Arabidopsis thaliana: one gene and its partners. The protein of the gene in region 1 interacts with the protein of each later gene in a pairwise test. Each region holds a gene or a part of one and is shown in the gene's direction. Other genes may lie near its edges.

What was found.
Region 2: the proteins of CSTF77 (region 1) and FIP1 interact in a two-hybrid assay, tested with the Arabidopsis thaliana proteins (one study listed by BioGRID).
Region 3: the proteins of CSTF77 (region 1) and AT1G66500 interact in a two-hybrid assay, tested with the Arabidopsis thaliana proteins (one study listed by BioGRID).

Annotation. Positions count from the first base shown.
Region 1 is NC_003070.9:6,114,577-6,118,334, reverse strand, and holds the start of CSTF77 (Tetratricopeptide repeat (TPR)-like superfamily protein), read left to right. Parts: upstream 1-1,717; 5' UTR 1,718-2,063; coding exon 2,064-2,117; intron 2,118-2,221; coding exon 2,222-2,284; intron 2,285-2,369; coding exon 2,370-2,479; intron 2,480-2,618; coding exon 2,619-2,719; intron 2,720-3,020; coding exon 3,021-3,082; intron 3,083-3,159; coding exon 3,160-3,300; intron 3,301-3,415; coding exon 3,416-3,544; intron 3,545-3,758. UniProt on the Arabidopsis thaliana protein: One of the multiple factors required for polyadenylation and 3'-end cleavage of pre-mRNAs. Required for the targeted 3' processing of antisense transcripts that triggers transcriptional silencing of the corresponding sense gene.
Region 2 is NC_003070.9:9,850,548-9,854,305, reverse strand, and holds the start of FIP1 (FH interacting protein 1), read left to right. Parts: upstream 1-1,856; 5' UTR 1,857-2,005; coding exon 2,006-2,231; intron 2,232-2,316; coding exon 2,317-2,418; intron 2,419-2,830; coding exon 2,831-3,102; intron 3,103-3,731; coding exon 3,732-3,758.
Region 3 is NC_003070.9:24,810,856-24,814,613, reverse strand, and holds AT1G66500 (Pre-mRNA cleavage complex II), read left to right. Parts: upstream 1-1,952; 5' UTR 1,953-2,101; coding exon 2,102-3,352; 3' UTR 3,353-3,534; downstream 3,535-3,758. Other genes in the region: AT1G66510 (AAR2 protein family), read right to left, coding at 1-62, 168-394, 513-642, 840-899, 1,074-1,131, 1,246-1,328, 1,638-1,733.

The DNA of each region.
Region 1 (3,758 bases):
TTTAATATACGATAAAAAAAACTACTACCTATGTTCCTAAATCCTAACAGAACGATGTTTTAGTTTTTTCGCACATGAATAAGTAATCTTACTTTTTTGCTAAGTTTTTGTAAATTTAATAATATTAATTATGTTTTTCTCTTTCTATATTGATAACATATGAAAGTAATAATGATGTTGAAACAAAACATTAATCAATTATGAAACAAAAAATTCCAAAATATCAATCTATTAGACTAAGAGGCAATACTTAATAGGGGACAAAAATCTGGTCTTAAAGTGTGCTACAAAATTTTCATGCACACGAATAAAAAAAATTGTATTACCAAATTAAAATGTAAACCCATGCATACTTTACGTACATACAGTATATTTTTTTTGCTAAGAATGTAAATATTTCATTAAAAATGAAAACAATTTAGGTTTACAATCCAAAGATTATACTCCTAAAGAAATGGTCCCATGACAAAAAAAGCAAAAAACATGGAAGCATAGATCTTAGAAACATTTTCAGTCCATCCACTCAAACATAAGCACAAATGCTAATGGAGTAAGACGAAGTGATGACGATTTTGAAGTTCTTCCCGGCTCTGATGCTTGAGACGAAGGGCGAATGCAAATTGAAGAGCCGAATTACCAAGATACAAGACACTAGAAGCCTTTCACAGGAGGTCCGAGACTGTGCCGTCAACGGCCCGTCAAAGGATTCCATGAGCTCTCACAGAACGAAACCCCACAAACCAAAGAATGTGAACAATGTGAGCTCACCCTACCAAGTTCCTTCCCGAAGTCGCATAGTACAGAGCTAGATTTTTGAGAGCTAGATTTTTCAACTCAACGCCACACTGAACACCAATAGTCTTACTAACTCCTCTAGTGCCTAGTGAAAAAGCAACCATAGCAAAACGCATTGCAACGCAAGAACTACGACTCTAGGCAACATCAATGGCAAGACACAACAAAACCAGGGCTTATTAGCAAATACAGTATACTATGTATTCGCCCTATATAACAAATATATTAGTTAGGATTCAAACTATAATAAATTACCTATACTATGTATAATAACTATAACATTCAAATGAAATTTCTTCATCTACGTCATTTAAATTAATTTAGATATGATGTTCATTTCCATAATTATCTATTAACGTTGAGTATAAAGTATTAGGCTCATATCTCTAAAGTTATCATTGTATCGACTTTAGAGCTAGAAACTTAAATTGATTTGATTTTGGAAATTGATGAATTAATTAATATCTTATATTACATGTCTATTTCATTGAAATATATCTTCTTATGATTAATTTCTTATTTTACATGTATCTTTATAAGTGTTAAAAGTGAATTCACGAATAAAAGCTATATAATGCTTACTAAAGTGTATATATACAAGCATTATTAGTTTAGTACATGTGGTACGAAAAATGGAGAGTAATTCATGATGTTTCCAAAGAACCTAGGCCAAAATAGATTTCAATCCCGCCAAAGATCTATCAGACTTCAAATTCGAATACACCAACTCTCTTGAACCTAACTTAACGGCTTAACGTTTTATGTACTTAGGAAATTAGTGAAGGAAAAAAAAAAAGAGAGAAATATTAGAAATCGAAAAGATATTGTATGTACCGTAATCGGTCCAACTTACTTTTAATGGGCCAAAAATCTAGGCCCGTAATATTTTTAATATAAGTTTAGTAGAATCCACGTGGACAGTAGAACCGCGGAAAATATTCGTTTCCTGAAGACGGACCGGTTGCTTTGAGTTTCCCCGTTCGACAATAGGGTATCACCGACCACCGTGTTTCGGGCAGACTCGTCGGAGGAGTGTTAAAATTGTTGAATCTCAGATTAGGGTTTACTTCTATGGTAAACTTCTGAAGGTCTGTCTGTTTTCCTGATCTGAGGTCCTTCTAGGGATTTTTTTTTATGGCGTTGAAGCAGCAGAAGCTTTAGCTAGACTTGTCGGAAGATTGTGACACTTATTGAATCTCAGATTAGGGTCTACTTATATTACCATTGAGTGGAATATTTGAAAGACTGTTCTTCCGAAGGTGAAATTCATGGCTGATAAGTACATCGTCGAGGAAGCAGAGGCTTTGGCCAAGAGAGCTTTGGTACAATTCTTTCCCCAGCTATATACTTGTCTGACTTCTCGTACTCTTTCATAAAGTTTAGATTTTTACTTGTTGGGTTTCGTAAAATTGTGTCCTTTCCTCAGCATTCACCAATTGCACAGGCGACGCCGATCTACGAGCAGCTTTTGTCACTTTATCCCACTTCTGTAAGTTTCCCATGACTTTGCTTCCACGTATTTTAAGAGTTTCCTGATGTTTTTGGTTAATTGTGAGCTCCTTTGTACTCTGTAGGCGAGATTTTGGAAGCAATATGTGGAGGCACAGATGGCTGTAAACAATGATGATGCTACCAAACAGATATTTAGTCGTTGTTTGTTGACCTGCCTTCAAGTTCCTCTTTGGTAATGCCATGTTACCCTTTATTAGTCGTTGATAAGAGTCAATTTAACATCTTTTCGTCTCATTGTTGGGTTTCTTGCTCAGCTGCAATGCAAGTCTTGCCATCTCCTTGGATATAATTCTAACATCTTATTCTCTCAGGCAATGTTACATTCGGTTCATCAGAAAGGTCTACGACAAGAAGGGAGCAGAGGGTCAAGAGGAGACCACAAAGGCTTTTGAGTTTATGCTTAACTATATTGGTATTGCTTCTCTTCCGCAGTTTTGGCTCTATTTTGTTTGTTTTTCATTTCAATCATGTCTCATACATAGAGGGAATTTTTTCCGTTTTGTGAGTAATGAATACAGTTATGTTTAGTAAACAATATGATTTGATCAATTTTATGCTTAATATAGTTGCTAATGATAACTATTCATCAGCAATAGCAAGCACATAGTTACGCTTCGTGTCTATGTAGACCTCTAGTTTCCCTTTATCATGCCAACACATAACACAACTTGGGCCTTACAGATGGTTGTTTATTTCGATTTATGAATCTCCAGGGACAGACATCGCATCAGGGCCTATATGGACTGAGTACATTGCCTTTCTAAAATCTCTTCCGGTTCGTTATATCACTCTAACTTTGTCCTTGATACTAATAATTTGTTATTGCAGAGAAACTAATAGATTCCCATGCAGGCTCTTAACCTCAACGAAGATTTGCATCGGAAGACTGCTCTTCGAAAAGTGTATCATAGAGCTATATTAACTCCGACCCACCACGTTGAACAACTTTGGAAAGATTATGAAAACTTCGAAAATACTGTTAACCGTCAATTGGTAAACTTCTAAGAAATTAAAATTATGTGGCTTCTTATTTTCATGAAAAGAAGCAGGTACGAACTTCATTCTCTTGGCTTTGTTGATGGATAATCTAATCTAATCATGTGAGCAGGCAAAAGGACTTGTAAATGAGTATCAACCAAAATTTAACAGTGCCAGGGCTGTATATAGGGAGCGCAAGAAGTACATTGAAGAAATTGATTGGAACATGCTTGCTGTCCCACCAACAGGAACTTCCAAGGTAAAGAATTTATCATCCATTGCTTCTTTTTGGAACTGCTGAGTGCTGAATGTACAATTATTTTCTTATCTTTTTGAGTTCGATAAGATTGGATATATTGACTCTTAAACTGCCTAAAAGACATTATGAGCATAATTCACGTCATGAGATCATGTTATTAAGATAGGAAATACATATTGAGTATCATCTGCTTACTTTGCTACTTTACACCGTC
Region 2 (3,758 bases), 3.7 Mb from region 1:
TTTTTTTTTTACTTTTAAAATTCATAAAATTAAATTATCTATATAACAAGCTCTATTATATATATGTTTAAATTATATACGAATATTATTTAATTGGTGTTAGTTAAGCATTAAACATAATAATAACTTATAAATACAATAGTTTTTTTTTAATTAGAAAACAAACATTTAAAATTTTCTATTTTTATTTTACAACATTTTTGGCAATCGAATTCGACTTCGTGATAGAGATATGCACCAACAACTAAAAGATGACCTAGTTGAGCATATATGACAAAAGTTTGGTGCATTATCAAATGAAGAGTAAAACCATAATAGATAATATAGTTAGTTTTGATTTATGTTATCATGGTTTTATATGTAATTTCTGTGTAATTTATATATTTTTTCTATTTAATTTATGTTATCATGGTTTTATATGGAATTTTATGTTTAATTGATATATTTTTTATTATGATTTTATATGTAAAGTAATGTTTAATTATGTTTAATTATGTTTAATTATGGTTTTAAAAATAATAAAACTATTTAATAATATAATTGTAAAAATAATAATTGATATGTTTGAAAATATTGTAGAGATTTTAAATTTAATATAAAAAACATATAATAATATGTTAATGTTAATGAGATACTCATAAGAGTATTTCACCAATGGAAGCACAATTTTAGTATAAGTTTCTCTACTTAAATTAAAATATTAATAATATATTATGAGGTACTCATGGAGTATCTCACCAATGGAGATGCTCTTACGCATATGCTGACGAGAGACGAGAGAAGAGACGTTCGCTAAATCTTTTGCTTTCTCGCCACTACGTCCAGAGTCTCTCTCTGGTTCAGAAGACTCGAAATGGGTTAAACACGTATTCTCTCATTCTCCGTAGTTAATTAATTTAGTGAAACGGTAAAAACAAAATGGTAAAAAATTGGCGGTCGTTATTTTGTAGCGGTAAAGAAAATAGTGAGTTAGACTATTTACAAGTTAACTGTTTGAATTAAAAGTTGAAAGTGATTTGGAAAAAGATGTTGTAGAATTTCTTCAACACCGTTAATTTTGTGAATAAAATCCTTGTACACATATAGTCTTAGAAAATTTGGAAAAAGGTTTGATAAATGTAACTTAGATGCTGCTTGGATTATAAAAAGTAAGCTTTATGGATACGGACTTGAGTTCCCAAGATCATTTAGGTTCAATCTGATTTTGAGGTTTATATAAGAAGCTTCATTTAAACCGTTGAGTGTTTGAGCTATATGAAACTTCAAAAAAATGTCATTCGTTTAAATACCATCAAGAAGAATGTGAATCAACTTTTCTTTTTGGATGAAAACTAGTTTTTTGATATGGTAACTATGTTTTCAACACAACAAAATTTTATCGTCGAATGTCCGAAATGATAAAGACACTCTTAACCTTCATCGGAAAAAATAGCAATTTTTTGTGGTATATCAATAGCGGTTACAATCTAACTTGTTTTGTTGTTGTTATTATGATTAGAACTGTCAATTGGGTGGACCGCATGTGGGTTTTTACAGTCCAAATACACACGGACGGATTATGGTCTGGACTCCAAACTAAAAAACATAAACCAAGCAATCAAAAAGTTAGAATAAGATATTTTTTAGTTAAAACAAAAATCGTAAGTGAAGAAGGTCTGAATTTCTTGAGGAAGATAAACGGGCACAAAACCGGTGTACATACATGGATTATGGATATGTTCTAGAGGAAAGGTATAATTGAATACTAGTATCCGTTACAGAAACTAATTGCATTAAGTTTCGTCTACTGTTTAAGACCGCACGAGATATATATGTTAGACCGACTTTGGGAAAGAGGCTACTTAAATTATTTACGATTAATAATGCCAACGTAACGCGGACAGACATTTTAATTCAATTATTATTTGTTGCCTGCGAGATTCGAACCATCTCTTATTTCATTACTTAACCCAAACCAAAAAAATAAAAAGTTCATTTCGAAAGAAGAAGAAGAAAACATCAAATCATGAGTGGGCAAGAGAATCATGATCATGGCCGGATCTCTTCTACGCCCGCCGCCGCGTCGGAGCCTTCCAAGGCTGCTGCTCACTCCTCTGACTACGCTCCTTACCCTAAGCTCGATCCTACCGACGTCACTCCTCCTCCTCCTCAGCCTATTCCCACCGGTGCCGCCGCAACCACCATGCCAGCGGAATCCAATCCTTACGTTTCTCCTTCCCCTGCCCCAAGGAGTGAGTTCTTCTTCTCTCTATCCGATTTCGCATCCTAATCCAATTTCTGCCTTTGATTGATTGATTGATCTTGGTTTGGGGACAGATACGATGGATTCGGTGAAGGATACGTTAGGGAAATGGGGGAAAATGGCTGCCGACGCCACCAAGAAGGCGGAGGATCTCGCCGGAAATTTTTGGCAGCACTGTAAGCGCTTCTTCTTCTTCTTCTTCTTCCCCCTCGATTAGATGAATTACCAATTAATCTGATTACCGTCTCTTGGAGAATACGATGGTATTGGTTATGCCCCTTCTGGTTAAGTTAGTGTTCATCAATTGGCGCTTCTTCGGAATTTTACTTCGCGTTCAACCACCGACACTAAATCTAGCCAACAATTTTGATATTCATGCTCTTCCGTTTGAGTTTAAGCCAATTAGTTCTTTGTATCTGGTTATTGCCTTTGACTCTTGAAGCTTCTCTAGTATAGGTTGTTTTGGCTTTATTTCTCCGCTTGTGTGATGAATTAGTATTATATACATATGGTTGGAGGGAGGGATGATATTTTATATGAATTGAGACTTGAGAGTATACGTTTTGATATCTATCCTTTCTTTTTCAGTGAAAACAGGCCCAAGTGTAGCAGATGCTGCTGTTTCACGAATTGCTCAGGGGACAAAAATACTTGCAGAGGGTGGATACGAGAAGGTCTTCAAGCAAACATTTGATTGCCTTCCTGATGAAAAACTTCTCAAGACCTATGCTTGCTACTTGTCTACATCTGCTGGTCCTGTCCTGGGAGTTATGTATCTTTCGACTCACAAGCTTGCGTTCTCTAGTGACAATCCTCTCTCTTACAAAGAGGGTGAGCAGACCCTGTGGAGCTATTACAAGGTATACTCGCTCTCTATCCTATGGTTACTTTTTCTTTCTAACTCTTTTATTTTATATCTATTTACATCTAAGAAAACTATTTGAGAACAAAGATTCAGCGAATGTAATATTTGATGGTGACATGATAAAGCGTTAAGTGAGTTAAGTCATTTTCAATGCATCTATTTACATAGATTCATAGACTATAACAAATTTTCTTGTCATTTCTAGTTATTGACGTATAGAACGTAGTGTGTGTACGCTTATAGTAAATGGAAACTACATAATCATTCTAACGATATTGTTGAGTAGTTGCATGTTAGTTCCTATGTAGACAATTAGGACTTTAGTGGTTTGCCTAAGAGAGTAAGCTAAATCTTGTAGCATTCTTGATAAAACTAGGGGAGCCATTGAATAATTGTTAGTTTGAGAGTTTGGACTGGTTCTAATGTAAACATCTAACATGAGCTGAAATCCTATTAAACCAAGCAGAAAGCTTCTTGACAACATGATCTTTGGAAAACTGATTTTAAGATTTGGGTGGTTCTTGAGAACCTTTTTTCGTTCCTTGAGAACCTTGCACTTGCAGTCTATTTTCTGTCATTCTTCCTTGTAAAGTCTGTGGCTGATGATTTTGATGTGATGATCAGGTGGTACTTCCGGCGAATCAGCTGAAG
Region 3 (3,758 bases), about 19 Mb from region 1:
CCAAGTAGCAAGTCTTCCGAGTCTTTGTACTCTTTTGACAATACGCTTTCTAGCAATTGAGTCTATACAAAGAAAAATAGAGGAAATGGCTTCACATGAATTTTGAGATTCAAAGTTCAAACATCTACTGAAAATGTAAAGAGGAAGGATCAAGTAAGAGGAGATACCTTGTCAAGATTCATAGAGGTTAGCTCCTGTCCAGACATTCCCTTGTGCTTTATAATCCGAGGAATAGACGTGTAGTAAAACCTATTCCCTTTAGGTTGCTCAGTAGATGATGTCGTAAACTTGCTTTTTTTCATCTGCGTATCAAGTGCTATTTCCATTGCCGTTTTAGGTCCACCTTTTAGAATAGCAGATTCATATGTGACTGTTATTTCTCCTCCAACTGGCTCTGCAAAATTGAACATAAAATTTTTGAACAAGCCAAACTTTACAGTGTTCACTACTCGAGTGAGGGAAAACATTAACAATGTGGTTAAAGAATCCTCCAAATTATAAGGTTCACATACCAAACTTTTCAACAACATCCTTTGTAATGTAGTTAGATAAGTGCCTCCACTCCCCATATTGCTTTAAATTGTATGGGCCAAGATTTTTGTCAAACTCTAAAGACCTGACTGCTTGAGAATATCTCTCTTCCTAGCAACAAAAGAGCAGAATAAATATAAATAAGCCAGCACTAATTCTCAAGCCTACTAACTAATGGCTCATGCAACATGATTTGATTATATTCCTATCTAGCAGGCATTGAACAAATATCACAAAGAGGCAAATCGCTGACCAACATATACGCAACATTGAGAAAATTACTGCACTAGGTTATTAAAAGGACATACCTCTTCTTCAGACACTTTGGTTAACCACTCGTCTTGCTGATTCCATTTGCGTACAATAACCTTGTATATTCAACAAAAGATAGTAAATATATATCTACTTACAATATATACAGTTTCATGGTGCTACTAACAGGATATCACAGAGAGACAAGAACATTACTAAATGTTTTCTCTGTAATAGCGATCTATATAGATAACTACAAACACAAACTATTCAAAGTTGTGATTCCAAACCTGAGAAGGGGCAACATCAACAAAGAAGCCAATGGTGGGTGAAAACTCTCTACCATCCCTGAAGATAAGAAAATGAAAGTCTGCATTATCAGCCAAAGCATATCGATAACCATGGTACGGTTTTTAATGAGTACGACATCACAAATTTAAAAAACCATTTAAAGACTTAAACCTTGTCGATGAACTATAGAATACAAAGTGAATTCCAGGAGGTATCATCTTAATCCCTTTGAAAGCTGGTCCAACTGCGAATATCTGTAACCACAATACAAAACATTGTCGTTATAGGCCAATGAATATGCTCAAGAAATATGTTTCACAATCATACAGAAATCAAAATCCATAGCCAATAAAGAATCTTCAAAAGCTCAAAAACCTCAAATTTTAATCATATTCAAACTCAAAATACACTTTCTTCTCGAGATATTTACTAAACCAAAAAGAAACTATACAAGGAGAATCAGTTCCACATTAAAAAGCTTTAAACTTGGAATAAAGTAACAAACTTTGAAACTGAGAAAAGTTGAAATTCGATAAAAGCTTTAAACTTAGAAGTAGACAAACCTGAGTATCGATTCCGACCAGTGTATATTGAGGAACATCGAGAAATAGAAGTGTAGCTCCATGCTTCACAAGCTCTAGTGCCTTCTCAGAATCCATAGCTTCCTTCTTCTTCGTCTTCACTAATTTAGCGTCGAATTCAATAAAGAACAGCAAAATACAGAGCGGAACAACGAGTAGATTCCAGAAGGCCCAATTTAACAGGCCCATTAACAAACTGGGCCTATAAACCGTGGCCCAAAACACGTGACAACGCGCGATTCACGCGGTTTACTTTATCAACCGACATAAACGTTTATTTATAGAGAAACCTATCTTCGCGTCTCTTCAGATTCGTTTTATTTTTCAATCGTTTCAATTTCTAAAATTCTCCTCTCTCAACGCAATCACCAAATCCAAATTTAGGGTTTCTTTTCTCTTTCTGCGATCGATCTCTGAAAACTCATAACTGTTGTTTAATCGTGAAGATGGCATCAAACGGATCTTTCTCTGCTCAGAGAAACGCAAACGCTAGAACAACGATGAAGAGAAGAAGCGACAATCGCGGTTACGGTGGCGGAATCGGAGGTTATCAAGAGGAGACGAACCGTTACGCGCCGCCGCAAAAACGTTTCAGATCACAAGCGCAACAGCAATTCCGATCTGGTCATAATCCTCTGTATCATCATCATGGTAGTAATAATAATAACGTGTCTAGGGTTTCTTCTCAATCATATAACAATTGCGGTGTTGATGTGATTGCTTCTAATTCAAGTTTTGCATTACGTAACAATGATTCTAACACCAACAATTATCAGAAACCCTTTGTTGCTGGTTATGGAAACCCTAATCCCCAAATTGTTCCTCTTCCATTACCTTATCGTAAGCTTGATGACAATCTCTCTTTAGATTCGTTACCTGATTGGGTTCCGAATTCAAGAACCCTAACTCCGAATTATCCTGTTAGGTCATCGAATTTTGTACCAAACACTCCTGTTTTTACGAATGTTCAAAATCCGATGAATCATTCGAACATGGTTTCAGTTGTGTCTCAATCTATGCATCAACCAATTGTTTTGAGCAAAGAATTGACTGATTTGCTTAGTCTTCTTAACAATGAGAAAGAGAAGAAAACTTTAGAAGCAAGTAATAGTGATTCTTTGCCTGTTGGATTAAGCTTTGATAATCCATCGTCACTTAATGTTCGACATGAATCTGTGATTAAGTCTCTGTATTCTGATATGCCGAGACAATGTTCATCGTGTGGGTTGAGATTCAAGTGTCAAGAAGAGCATAGTAAACACATGGATTGGCATGTAAGGAAGAACAGGTCGGTGAAAACCACTACAAGACTGGGTCAGCAACCGAAGAAATCGAGGGGATGGTTAGCAAGTGCATCTTTATGGCTTTGTGCAGCGACGGGAGGAGAGACGGTAGAAGTAGCATCTTTTGGAGGAGAAATGCAGAAGAAGAAAGGAAAGGACGAAGAACCAAAACAACTCATGGTGCCTGCGGATGAAGATCAGAAGAATTGCGCATTATGCGTAGAGCCGTTTGAAGAGTTCTTTAGCCATGAAGATGATGATTGGATGTATAAAGATGCAGTCTACTTAACCAAGAATGGTCGTATAGTTCATGTTAAGTGTATGCCTGAACCCCGACCTGCTAAGGATTTGAGAGAGCCTTCGAGGGTAATGTCTGTTACAGTTCCATCGGTTGCGAAAGCTATAGCCTGCTGATTGAGATTTTTAAGATCTCTGTTTTAGTCATTCGTTTTTTTAAGTAATGTACTTTACTTGAACAAGTTGTAACACAAATACAGTTCTATCAATTGAATCTCCTATTTTACTCTTATCGCCTCTTTACTCTTATGTGTCATTTAATGAATATTCATGCTTCTATATCTCTGTTTTAATCGTCGTTTAGTGTTGAAAAATCATCAAAAAAGTTGTAACTATATTAATCAGAAAAGATTAACGAAATGCTTTAGTTTACACTTAATAACAGAGACAAACGTGAAGCTCGTCTTCTTTTGATTCTCCTTAGGGTTTCTTACTTCGAGAAGAAGACAGAGTAATTCTCACAAACTTGTTTTGCTAATAAACGTTATAAAGCTTTTCAAAATCCTTTTTCAACCCTAATAGT